2 linked regions of the Drosophila melanogaster genome follow. The gene in region 1 interacts genetically with each later gene. Each region holds a gene or a part of one and is shown in the gene's direction. Other genes may lie near its edges.

Region 1 (7,133 bases):
CAACCAGCCCACCCCCCGCAAGCCAAGTGCAATTAAGCACGAAAAAACCAATCAAACTGGAAATAAATTGCGCCATAGTTGCAGCAGCCACACAGCGACCAGGGTTGCCATACGGCGCCGATTTTTGCGAATTTTTTTTGCCTAGCCAGCACTTTGTGTGCCCCTTCTGCGTGTGGGTGTTTTGGGTTTTTTGCGTTCGCCGGGGGTTTCCCTTTTTATTGTGGCCGCTGGGTGAAAATTGTTTGCATTGCATTCTCTGCTGATGCATGCGAATTGAGAAATATTTGCAATTTAGCAAAATACACCCGGAAGCGGCTCCGGATTGAAGCTTGAGCTCCTTTTGCCACATTTCGCAATTTCGATTTTCGCCCCGCATTTGTATTCATATTTGTATTTGGTTTTTCCAATCGCACACGGGCCCGACTTTCCACACTCTTACAGTGCGTGCAAAATGACGGCAATTAGGTGTATACGCTGCGCTGATTTATGTTTTTTTTTTTTTTTTGTAGTTGATCGCCTCACCTTCGAAAATAGCCAGGAATGCAATATCCATTGTTTCAGGGAATGGATTTCATCCGAGTATTGTTTTTCGGTATAAAACATTGTTTGAGAAATATTTGTAAAATATGACAAAAACTTCTATTCTATTGCTGGCAATTACAATTTGAGATCACTCATCAGTGACCACAGATTCGAAGAAAATCAAATGTATTTGTTGAGGTACGCAAACTCCTTCGCAGCTCAGATCAATTGTCGAGTTCAGTGATGCAGGAGGAGATAGAATAAAGTATAAATACAATTTGTATGCTTGATGTAATTTCATTTCCACTTATCTTGGTATTTTCTCTGCATTTTGCTTCATGCGATTGATTTATCGCACAGAAAATAATAGGCAGCCAATGTCTGTGCATCCTGTGAAAGGACTCGCTCTCGGCCTTCCAAGCATTCAATCCCTGAGCCGGGTTCAGTTTATATTCAAATGCTTACGCTTAAATGTCAATAATACGTGAAATTGAACTGCCAATTCAATCTTCACAACTACTCCGCATCGCTCCTCCACTTCTCCAGTGAAATCATTTCCATATAAGCGTTTTCCCATCTCGTCTATTTATATATATGTATGTATTTCTTTTCTTTTCGTTCGCAACTCTTTTTATTTTCCATCCTGCGAGAAAAATTCTTTCTGTTCATATGTGGAAAAACTATTTGCAAAAGTCTCAAGTGTGCTCGGTTCCCGGCCAGCAGAGGGGCAAGTGAGGCGAAGGTGTAGGTGGACGTGTTGGTGTTGGACTTTTTAAAACGACGCCTGCAAATTGTACGCAGATCACATTACACTTGCTCCAACGGACGGCATGTGCAACTGCCGGCTGCCTCTGTGGATTGCTTTACATTTGGCTGCACTTCCTACCCGGCATTCACTCGAAAAATTGAAAGATTTATTTCTTAGTTCTTTGCGATTACATTTCCACCGAGCTAATGTGTTCCGATCCAACGGCTACGTAGTGGCAGTTTGTCAACTGTCATTGCATCAGACATTGAATGGGCCACGATAGCAAATGGATTGTGGAGGGTCGGGTGAGGGCGGGGCAGTGCGGGGCAGCGCGGGAACCTGTCGCATTTTGTTGACAACTACATTGCAAATACGGCAAAGTAATCAGTATTGTGTAAATAACCAGTTATGTGTCTGCGAGTGCAGCTGACAAAGCGAGTGGTAAGCGATATGCACTGGATCGCGAATAAATTCTTGAAAGCGTTTCCCCGATTTATCTACCCGATGCATTTGGCAAGATGCGAACGGAATCGATAATCGAATAATATGCGAATATCACTCATACGCAGTGGTGGGCGCCAACGCATGTAGCACACTTTTCAGCGCCAAATGTTTCCTCGTGCGAGCCGGAACAAATTTAATATGTGGCTAAGGTCAGCTGATAAGCACCTTAGTGTCTGGGAATTGGAAAAACGCAAAAAGCACTTGAAACTATGCGTATACTTTCTGCGCTCAATGGGCAGTTGTCGGACTTCTGACCGAAGGTAAACCAATGAAAAGAGGTAAAAATGTCCAAGAAAACTGAGTCAACGGGCCAGTTAAACACCGTTTTTCTCATCGGCAAGTCGGTCGCTGTTTAAAACTATTCAACAAATTAAATTGGTTAATAATATTGAAAATATTCAAAAGGATTGACTTACCTAAGAGGCAGTTCCTAATAGTTGACCATTTCATTGCTGACCGCTTATTTTCGAATTTTTGAACGAAATTGTGCAAGTGCCTTGTTTTCTCTTACATAATTTAGCAACTACAGTTTTGTAAAAGAAAAATATATTTCGAATAGACGTCAGAAGCAAGAGACTAGTTAACTCAATTGCTCTTACTTTTACTTCTCATGTAGTGAAGACAATTCTAATCTCATTTAATCAATGTAATTTTATTGTATAGATATTTGAATCAGTATTTTCCGGAGAACTTTTATTCTTATTTTTCTCATTCTTACGTGGTTTCTCATCGATTTAATTTTATTTAAGACAATGGCCTAAATCATGGTCAGATCCAGCCTTGCCATGTCTCATGTTTTTCTCGTTTTCATTCCTCTGTTTTCAGTTGTCTTCTGACCATGAAAAGCTGGCCATGAAACATTTTTGCAACTAAGCATTGGACAAGGCACAATCCGCCCAAAAGGAAAAAACGGATTAACTTTTATGTGAAAGTGGGCAAAGGATAGACATGGAACCAGGAACCATTCCATCGCCTGTTTCAGCACCAGTTGCTGCGCCTGTGACGCCATCAGCAGTGGCTGCCCCTGTCCAAGTAGTAAGTCCTGCGGCAGTGGCTCCCGCACCAGCGGCACCGATTGCAGTCACTCCAGTTGCTCCACCGCCCACCCTTGCAAGTGTGCAACCGGCAACAGTTACTATTCCAGCTCCAGCTCCAATTGCTGCCGCATCCGTCGCTCCTGTCGCATCTGTGGCGCCTCCAGTTGTTGCAGCTCCAACTCCGCCGGCAGCAAGTCCAGTTTCAACACCACCCGTTGCTGTTGCTCAGATTCCGGTCGCTGTTTCAGCACCAGTGGCACCTCCCGTTGCTGCAACACCCACTCCTGTTGCCCCAATTCCTGTAGCTGCGCCTGTGATAGCGACACCACCTGTTGCTGCCTCTGCCCCCACTCCGGCTGCCGTGACTCCCGTTGTTTCGCCTGTGATCGCCACACCACCTGTGGTTCCCGCTAACACCACGGTTCCCGTTGCAGCACCTGTAGCTGCTGTACCAGCTGCTGTTCCTGTTGTTGCCCCAGTTCTTGCGCCTGCCGTTGCTCCTGCAGTTGCCCCCGTCGTCGCCGAGACTCCAGCTCCACCACCTGTTGCTGAGATTCCGGTTGCAACCATACCGGAGTGCGTTGCACCTCTCATCCCCGAGGTTTCCGTCGTGGCAACGAAACCACTAGCTGCAGCTGAGCCAGTGGTCGTTGCTCCACCGGCTACTGAAACCCCAGTCGTTGCTCCGGCTGCAGCTTCCCCCCATGTGTCGGTTGCACCAGCTGTGGAGACCGCAGTGGTCGCTCCTGTAAGTGCTTCGACTGAGCCCCCGGTAGCTGCTGCGACTCTAACAACTGCACCAGAAACGCCAGCCCTTGCTCCAGTCGTTGCCGAGTCCCAAGTTGCTGCGAATACTGTTGTAGCTACACCTCCTACTCCAGCCCCAGAGCCAGAAACCATTGCACCACCTGTTGTTGCAGAAACCCCAGAAGTTGCTTCAGTTGCTGTTGCTGAGACAACACCACCCGTTGTACCTCCTGTGGCCGCAGAATCAATACCAGCGCCAGTCGTTGCCACGACACCAGTTCCTGCAACACTAGCAGTAACGGATCCGGATGTCACTGCATCTGCTGTTCCCGAATTACCTCCGGTGATCGCTCCATCACCCGTTCCTAGTGCTGTTGCTGAAACTCCTGTCGACTTAGCGCCACCTGTTCTCCCTCCTGTGGCTGCCGAACCTGTACCAGCTGTAGTGGCTGAAGAAACTCCTGAGACACCAGCACCAGCATCAGCACCAGTGACCATAGCAGCTTTAGATATACCAGAAGTTGCTCCTGTGATCGCCGCACCCTCTGATGCACCTGCTGAAGCTCCGTCTGCCGCTGCTCCCATCGTTTCTACTCCACCAACTACGGCTTCTGTTCCCGAGACCACGGCACCACCTGCGGCAGTGCCTACGGAACCTATCGATGTTTCTGTACTATCAGAAGCTGCCATTGAAACGCCAGTTGCACCGCCTGTCGAAGTTACAACAGAAGTTGCAGTTGCAGACGTTGCTCCACCTGAGGCAGCTGCGGATTTAATAATCGAGCCTGTGGAACCACCAGCTCCTATTCCGGATTTATTAGAACAAACTACATCCGTGCCAGCTGTTGAAGCTGCAGAATCAACATCTTCACCAATACCAGAGACCTCATTACCGCCGCCAAATGAAGCAGTTGCCTCTCCAGAAGTGGCTGTCGCTCCAATTACAGCTCCAGAGCCCATACCTGAACCGGAACCAAGCCTAGCGACCCCTACAGAACCCATACCTGTGGAGGCACCTGTCGTAATCCAGGAAGCAGTGGATGCTGTAGAGGTGCCGGTGACAGAAACTTCAACATCGATTCCAGAAACTACGGTTGAGTATCCTGTAGCCGAAAAAGTCCTGGATCCTGCCATAACTGAAGCTCCTGTCACTACTCAGGAACCAGATGTTGCAAACATTAATGACGGTGCTCCAGCTACCGAAATCACCACACCCGCTGTTGAAATCGTTACTGCTGCTGCAGAAGTATCTGATACTGCCATACCGCTCATTGACCCTCCGGTTCCTCAAGAGATCGCAGTAGCTGAAATTCCAGAGACAGAGACAAAGCCGGCAGAGGTCATTGTTGAACAGAGCACCATCCCAATAGAGGCACCAGTCCCGGAGGTTTCAAAATACGCAGAACCAGTGATTTCTGAAGCTCCAGCTGCCGAAGTACCAATTACGGCCGGGGACAACCCAGACAATACTAGTGTGGGAATATCTGAAGTTGTTCCCACCATTGCAGAGAAAGCAGTTGAAGAGGTTCCCACTTCGGAAATCCCCGAACAATCATCGTCACCCTCAGATTCCGTTCCCGTAGCAAAGATAACTCCTTTGCTAAGAGATCTTCAGACCACCGATGTTTCGCTATTGGCTATTGCAGCCACCCTGGATGCCATTGGAGAAAAGCTAAAGGATCAAAAGGCCAGAAATCAGCAGGTAATGGACAGACTCTGCGAAATCGAGAAAATTCTTGGTCCTCCCAAATCCAATTAGCTCAAGTTTAAAGCCTGGATCATGTAAAGTAAAGCTACTAATAAAGCGTTATTTCACCAATTTTAAAGTATATACAAATTTATTACTAATTTCCTTTTCATAATAGGGTTAAAAGAGCCAAGGTATGGCTAGGTTGTCACAAATTGTTCCGTGCAAAATTAATGCAACCAAAACAAATCTACCATTTCCACTTTTTGGACATATCAGCATAGCTGGTTCCAAAGCCACAGCCACAGAACCTAATTTGCAAGCGCGTCGAAAATTTTCCCGTGGAAATTAGCATTCCAAAAGGGAGTGGGACATAAATACAGACGATTGTAAACGGGGAAAATGAATGAATATTTCCCACACTTTGTCAGCGAAAAAACGACATAAATTAGAGTTACCTCTCTGCTTTTGTATCGAGAAAGCTGGCGACTTCTGATAATTGGAAATTTATCAATGAATAATTTAATTTAAAGCTCCTGCTTACGCTTCCTCAAAAGCTTAAATATAAAGACTATCCCTTATTGATTTCATTTAAAAATGAGCCCATGGAATTTATTTTGATCTGTCCTGACGCAAAAGTCAATCGAGAGTCGTAAAAACGGTCGAAAGGGGCCAAAATGAAAACTTTTATTGCGGCAAACTGAAATTTGTGTTTATGGGGCAAGTAAGTCCGGTTGAGTCAAACACCTTCGGCGATTATTCTAATCATTTGCATTGTTTAAGCTGGTCGGCTATCTCCCAAAGTTTTCCTTTTTTTGTTGGGCTTGTATATGGGCAGAATTCGACAGAACCCAGTTACATGTTCGACAGTTCAATCTAAATCTATCGGCTACCCACACACACAGCACCAAAAAAGCTAAATTCCCATTTGACCATTTTGTCTGGAAACAATAAAATGACCTCCCGCACACAGATACACCAGATACAACCGACAGGCAGCAACATACGAAATCGCATAAATGTTGCAAATGGAGCAACAGAGTGAAGTTGTCATGCCGAGGATGCCGTGGCACAGGACCAAAACAACAGCCACAGCTACAGCTACCCGAAACTGGGAAAAAACGAATTTTCTTTTTTAGACTTCCTGGCACTTTTGAGCGGGGGGAGGGTGTGGTTCCGGAGGGGGATAGTCGGCTATTCTCATGCGACTGGGATGAAGGTTACACAGCCTAACCGCATTAATGCCAGCACAGAACAACTCGGTCCGAGTCACAGCCAAATGTGTAATTGTTGCCTGGAGGATTTGCAGAAAGATTTTCACTGTCATTTGAACTCTGTTTAAGGCTTCATTCGCTTTTCTCTCTGCACTTACTGCCATAAATGCTATCCTCTCCGGTTAAATGAACCAAATTGAAATGGTTCTTGTTTGTGAAACGATGTGAGTGGTTTCTATTCACATCGGTTTACAATGTTCTTATATTGTGTTTAGGCAATATTCTATTATTATTTTTCTTCTATAAGTGTTTGGTTTATAAGCAATCTGTTTCTCAGAACATTGGCGTTCTCTTGATAACCACTTTAATAGATTGATTGGACATTATAATGGGGTGACAAACATTTTTCATTTCAAAGCGAATCTTTTGGATGTAGAGATTAAACTACTATTATTGAATGATCCAACAAATCTTGATTTATTTGGACTAGTGATCAACCGCCTGCTTAAATCCAAGCTAATTTCTATGATCTTCTAGTTATGAAGTGCTTATGTAGAATCCTTGCATATCGCTTTTTTATGAAGTTCATCACTTGTTGTAGTTGTGTATTCAGTGCGCTTCTCCGAGTGCAGTGATCAACACTTCAGGCCGGAGCTGCTGTTGACCGCAGGAAC
Region 2 (6,702 bases), 8.8 Mb from region 1:
AGGCAGTATTCTGTTTACCTTTTCTTTGATTGTTTTTTATCGCTTTCCCTGCCCACACACGCCCCAAAACAAAAACAAAAAGAAAAACAAATACAAAGAACAAACACAACATGAACGGTTGAGCGGTCAAATTGTTGGTCATTACATTGAAGTTCAACGAATTAAAAAGCTTGGCATTGTCGTTATCAAATGAGTGGGTCTGAAAAAGCGGCTCGGGCTGGCTAATTGAGAATTTCAAGTTGTGAATTGTGAAAAATGGATCAGATAGCGATTATAGGATGTTCAATAAGCTCGGCTAGACCGATAAGATCACACCCACGCAGAGAGATACGCCCAGACATTCGAGTTTAATTCGCTGCTGTTTTCTTTTAGCCAACTGTCTTGTTTTCTAACTTAGTGAAGATGATCATTAGCATTGGGGATAACGATAATTATGGCATGTTAGTTATGAAAGAAAATGAAAACTAAACAAAATTATTATTATTAGTTGTTAACAAATTATATTGAGTAATTAATAATATTGATCGATGGATGCTGATGTGAAAGAGATATGATACTAAACTAAAACGAAGCAAAGCAAAAACCAAACGAGGACAAAAACAAAATATAAATAACTCATAATATGGACTACAAATATTTATAAACAAATGCAGAATTATATAAACGTTCGATGGTCAAAGCAAGAACTTGAAACAAAACAAAAACCACAACAAATTTGTCAACAACACGCAGAAGTAAAAACTTGCATGTAACAACAAAACAATGAGTAAACATTTTTAATTTTTTGTTCTTTCGCCCTCCGCTGTAAATGTATTTGTAGATTTAAACAATGATTAAAATAAAAAACTACATAAATAAAACTTAAAAAACAAATCAAAATCTTTTATTTGCAAAAACATGTGGAAGTGGGGTTTAAAAAAAAAACGTAAAATGAGACTTAAGTTGATTGCAAATGCAAAGAAACGTAATTTGTAAAAAGTGCTTAGATTTGTGATCTGTCATTTTATTTCGTAAATGTCCTATGATTTCATGATTGCTATTATTCATTCATTGAATTGAGTTGTCGTGCCAAATAATCATACACATCCGAAATAAAAATCGCGACAGTTTTATGCCTACACACCAACTGGAAACGAGGCTATAAACATAAATATATTGCTCATACGCCCCGTGTTCACCCCTGCCGAATGAGTTGGGATCCGTAACGAAAACAAACAGAAAGCGGACGAAAAAAAATGGACGCCAAATACAAGGTAGCAAAAGGTTGTGAGCGCACACACTGGCACACATGTTCCTGTACTGTACTGTACTTACAGCAATGGCGTGCAGCGTTTGCTTCTCTTTCGCTACTTTTGCTGCTTTCGCTGCTGCTGTTTCCATTGCTGCGTTTATATGGCCATAAGGCTAACGCTATTGTCGCGGCAGGTCTCTCAGGGGCAACATGGGGAGGTCGTTGCGACAGCGGCAACATTTGGGTCTTATTAATTTCCGTTTTGCTTATTTATTTTTACGACGCCTCGCACAGCTCGCCATTCGGTTCGCAGTTCTGGGCCCGTCAGCAGCCGAACCGCCGAGCCATCCAGGTCCCCAAATTCTAACGCAGTCGCCATAGTCAAAAGAACATTCGTAAGGAATTCCACCTTTAAAGCCCCGGTGATACCCTACGATTATTTAGAGAGGCATATTACACAACCGTAGATGGGGAGTACTAAAATGTTAATTCATTGCTTAATTCGATTGCCTTAATTTGCTGCTTTAGCTTTGATTTAATACATGAATTATAATAATAGAAGAGAAGAAGATTACTTTAAATTAGGAAAACTGATTTATAATTAGAAAAAAAAAACTACAAAATATTATTATTTAACTTTTTAAGTGAAGTTTTTATGGCGCGGTATTAAAATATGTATAGGTATTAAAATAAAATGCATAAGTGACTTGAAAAAGTTCGTAGGCGTGATGCTGCATAGAGAGCCAAGTAAAAAGGCGCAATCAACTAAATCAAAATTATACAGGGGAAAGCCATTTATCCGGTAAAACACATACCAATTAAGTTATTTTTAAAAGCTGACTTCAATGCGATCAAAAGCTTTCTAGCCAATTTGAGTTGGAATTGGCGATGTACTTCTCAAATTTGGTTTTGAATATAAATAAATATATATATTTAAATAAAATGTATATGTTGAGATCAATACTGTACTTCAACGCGTGAATAATATCATATTTTAAGCTTAAGAAATTATAAAACAATACAATTTTCAGAAATAAAAGATTTGGCCACGTGAACCTTTATTGGGTGTTGAAAATTTATATTTTTTTGCACCCCGATCTGCTAGTAATCACTTTCCCTAACGGTGCTTATTGTTAATAGACTATTTTCCAAGCATAGAGTACAGCAACTTGTTTCCAACCGACTTAACAGGGGCGTCAAAAACTTATGCGCTTGCTTGTCTAAGACAGCGGGTGGTAGAGGAGGGGGTGTGGGTGTGGGCTATACTAACCAGCAATGCCTCTACACCACCCTCCCCGCCAAACCTTTACACCCCCTGCGAAATGCGCCACTGCAACGAGAGGAAGATGGGGAACATCGGAGAGCGACAGCGAGAGAGAGCGGCGCAGTTGTTATCGCCTGGCCAGTGTTCCACTGCCACTCTGTTCCTTATCCTGTGCACTTTCTTCCTTATCTGTCCCGCTTTCACCGCCCTCGCACTCGCCACTCTCACTCTTCGTGTGCATTTCGGGTGCCCTTCGTGTCGCGACAATCGGCATTTTTAAAGAGGCAGTCGGCCAATGTGGCAGTCGGTTACTGGCTCGCAGGTTAGTCTTTCATTATCCGGCGTTTGAGCGTGTAACGTTTTCTCCGTGATTTCCACACGCAGCAGCGGTAAATACAACAACAACGACAACGAAAGAAGCAACCAAAACAATAACAACAACAATAGAAGAGAACAGCGGCAAACGGTTTTTCGCTGCGCTTCTCCTATTTTAAGTGCCGAGCGTTTTACTATTTTTACTACACAGCGAAACATACACAGATACACATATATACAGAAATATATGTAGGTATTTGTTGATGTGTTTGTTGTGCTTCAGTCAACAATAAAAACAAAAACAGTGTTTAAAGCTAGTGAAATGATCTTCCATAAATAAATTTTCAAAATTAATTTGAGAGCAAAAATGAATTGAAAGAAAATGCCAAGAAAGTGCAGCAAAAAATCAACAACGATGCTGTCGGAGAGTCGAAACTAGGCTAAATATCTTTGCATACTTTTGGGAAAGTTGTGCGGTACAAACACACACACCCGTTCGTAACACACACACACAGGACCTGCGCCTGCGGTCGCCGACTTTTGAACCTGTTTTCTGACCATTGACCATTGACCACCGACCGCCGTGCCGGCCGCCTCTTTTCACTTTTGGCAACGCGGACTGCAGCAGCCGCTGCAAAAAATGCAACTGTAAAGGAAGCTGCAAGAAAAGGAAAGGATGTGCACGAAAACGGCATAAACCTACAAAACTAGCCAAAAGAGTTCAGAGCGGTGCGGTTCAACAGCCTCCGGGTGTTCGTGTCAAGCTCGAAATTCGCAAATTCGGCGTCAGCTTCGTGCATCTGTATCTGTGTATCTGTATCTATATCTGGTGCATCTGTGTGCGGCCATTCTGCAGTTGCAGCTCTGCAGCGGCGAAAATTGTGTCAGCAGCATCGGCAGCGGATCCTGCAGCTCGCCACACTGGCGCCTCCATCTCCGATTGCCGGTAATGTATTCGTTTTAGGCGCATTCTACCCAAGCACGACTTAATCATACGCCACATGTGAAGTGCCGTGCGGTATGGCTAAGGCATTACGCATACGCCCCGTGTATGTGAGTATGAATAGTGCGGGCGGTCTTACCTTGACAACGGACGGGGGCAGTCCGTGACAATTGTCAGTTTGTTTTCCCATTTTCGTTTTTCTATCGATTAAGCCCACTGGCCCCTCGTTCGCCCTTTGTCTGCGAATTAGCGACAACTTCTGGGCCAAGCAGCATATGGCTATGTCCACCGTCTTTGTCTAACGCCTAATTGAGTCTTTTGTGAGTATCAAGAGACGAGCAGCACCGCAGAAGAAAAGAAAAGCAAATGGGGAATCCAGTTGACATCGGCATAAGTTCGAGTTTTAAGTTCCCTTGTGGACAGCTGGTTTTTGGGCTTTCTCGACTATCACATACCATAACTGCAATGGACTTTTTTTGGATCATTTTTCAAATTCTGGGCGTTACATATTTTCTTGATCATGATCGACTCGGCTTGTGATCCGGAAATGTATTTACTGTAGAGGATATAACTAACTATAAATAAAGCTGTATGGCATCCTAGCTTTGATTCTTACACGCTGTAAGAAACGAATGTCAGTAAGGGATATAATGTTAACATTCCAAAAGGCACGTCTCCCATATGAACATATAAAGTATATTAAGACTCCCAAGAAAAAGTAAAGAACTTCGCCAGAAAACGTTAGGCTTATGATTTCAGATTTCAGAGCATTAAACCACAAATGATTATTTATATGAAGTATATTTTACTGTCCCGCTTAGATGAAATTTTTCGCTTATACTGTAGACAGTGCCTAAAGTATCATGCCATCTGATAGGGTATCCATAGAAAGGAACCAAAGAAAACAATCAACACGGAGACTAGTAAACAATTGAAAAGCAAAAAACCCGCGACTCCTGCCCAAGTCGGCCAGCCCCTTGAGTTCTTTTTTCATTCATAGGACGATGGGTGGTAGCATTTGCCTTTGTCAATATCATTCAAGCTTTCATTCGCTTCACTTGCCTGACATTTGCTTACCATTTCAGTTTAGAGTTCACTTTGTTTCCCTTTGTACAAATAAATAGCCATTTATTCATTCACTCGGTTAAGGGGCTCCTTTTCACTGACCAATGAATGAAGGAAGGTCGTCCCATAAGTATTTGTCAATTGGACACAAGTTACAATGGAACTCAGTTTGGGGCTTTATATCTAATCAAACTAAATGGCAGCCATTAACTAGCTAGCTTAATCAAGTACCCAACATCAGCATGACTCGAAGCACTCAAAATGCTCGATTTTCTGATTCTGATAAGAGGAATACCTCGGGTAATTTAAAATTGAGTATGCAGCATATTCAGCGAAATGCAGAAAATCCAGATGAAACAAGATTTTGGAAAATTCATTTAATTTATGGCTCCGTCAATTAAAAGCAACAGACCACACAGCCAAACCGCAGTACAGCTCTCAGATGAAAATTCAGCGCTTTAAAGGCTTAGAGAAAAGTGGCAGGCACTCAAAAGCTTAGGCCTTGCATACGTAGCAGCCGCAAACAGTGGCGAAAAATTCTACTTTTTTCCATTTTCGGTGTGTGGGGCGACCAACTTTTCTAACTAACAAAAAAATAAACCGCGCACATGTGTACACAAAAGAAACTCGACGAAGAAAACTGCAAATATGTAACAAGATTCGGTCATGTTTGATTCATGAAACCAGCAGAAAGTTCCAGCCCCTCACCCAATTGAACAACAATGGTGAAATAAAGTTACAGTTGCTGTGGCCACGGCAACTGGAAGCCAACATTTCGCACAATGGCGCAGAATCAGCAGCTTTAGCAGCTGCCGTGCTTCCGGAAAAAATAGAGCCCCAAAAAGCATACTTTCGAGTGTAGAGTTTATGCAGGATTCCGTTGCAGCAGAGTTAATCATACATACGTCCTGACAGTAACAAATCTCCAGCTACGAGGCATAAATAAAAAAAAATTCACCCAGCTTCGCTTTACATATTTTCCTGTTAGATTTACCGTGTATGTGGGCATCAAATTGCGCATACGCCCAGTAAGCCGTCCAGATGGGCAGATCTGCAGGCAATTTGATTATGGCCAGCGAGGCATAAAGAACGTAGAGAAATGCTGAAATAGGGCTTACTTCTAAGCCAGCCAAGTCGAGCATAAAATGCAAGCAGAGTTTGGTGGAAAAAAGGAAACGCAAAGGACTCGATTGCTCAGTTTCTCGGGAACGGCAATTAAATTGCGATGGCGATGATGGCGGAGCCGGAGAATATGTATAAATTAAAAGAGATAAAAATTCCATAAAGATGACAAAAATCAAAAGGAAAGAGGAAAAGGCGAGGGCCATAAATAAAGGAAAAACATCTGAAAAAGGGACGCGAAAATGGAGACAGAATCACAAAAATGGCGGACAAGGCGCTGACAGGCGAGCCTTAAGTCAGCTTTTGTGGCGAAACAAAAGACGCGCGAAAAGAACAGGATATTGGGATATCTAAATTACCGTTGTCACGCACCTAAGTTCACACACACTGAGTCAGACACACACATACAGAAGACATACAGCAAGCTAACAAACACACTCACAGCACGTACACATCGAAATGTCGGCATTGTGTCAGCACGGAAACCAAAGTGAAAACCTTTCATTTCACTTCTCTCCGCCCATTCAAATGGTCGAGTTCCATTGACTGAGCGAACAAAGGCCAAGGAAATGATAATTTTCCGCTCAACAGACACAGAAATATCTACATGTGTGTGTGTGTGTGTGGATTCGGTTGTCGAAATAAATGGCGAAGAAATGAAATTGAAACGCTTTCAATTAACTCTTCGCATTGGGTAGCACTTAATCCTTGTCACATTAACTGGAGCTCGCACTCTGGTTTCAATTAGGTCGATGTGACGCG

Evidence for each region. Genes that interact genetically often act in the same process or in processes that back each other up.
Region 2: of Cpn (region 1) and Calx, changing one suppresses a phenotype caused by changing the other (phenotypic suppression), as found in Drosophila melanogaster (one study listed by BioGRID).

Annotation. Positions count from the first base shown.
Region 1 is NT_033777.3:12,161,140-12,168,272, reverse strand, and holds Cpn (calphotin), read left to right. Parts: upstream 1-2,086; 5' UTR 2,087-2,152; intron 2,153-2,599; 5' UTR 2,600-2,722; coding exon 2,723-5,317; 3' UTR 5,318-5,386; downstream 5,387-7,133. UniProt on the Drosophila melanogaster protein: Plays important roles in both rhabdomere development and in photoreceptor cell survival. Might function as a calcium-sequestering 'sponge' to regulate the amount of free cytoplasmic calcium. It binds 0.3 mole of Ca(2+) per mole of protein.
Region 2 is NT_033777.3:20,975,365-20,982,066, forward strand, and holds the start of Calx (Na/Ca-exchange protein), read left to right. Parts: upstream 1-2,818; 5' UTR 2,819-3,756; intron 3,757-6,702. UniProt on the Drosophila melanogaster protein: Na(+)/Ca(2+) antiporter that couples the energy of a Na(+) electrochemical gradient to the movement of Ca(2+) against an electrochemical gradient across a membrane, which contributes to the regulation of cytoplasmic Ca(2+) levels.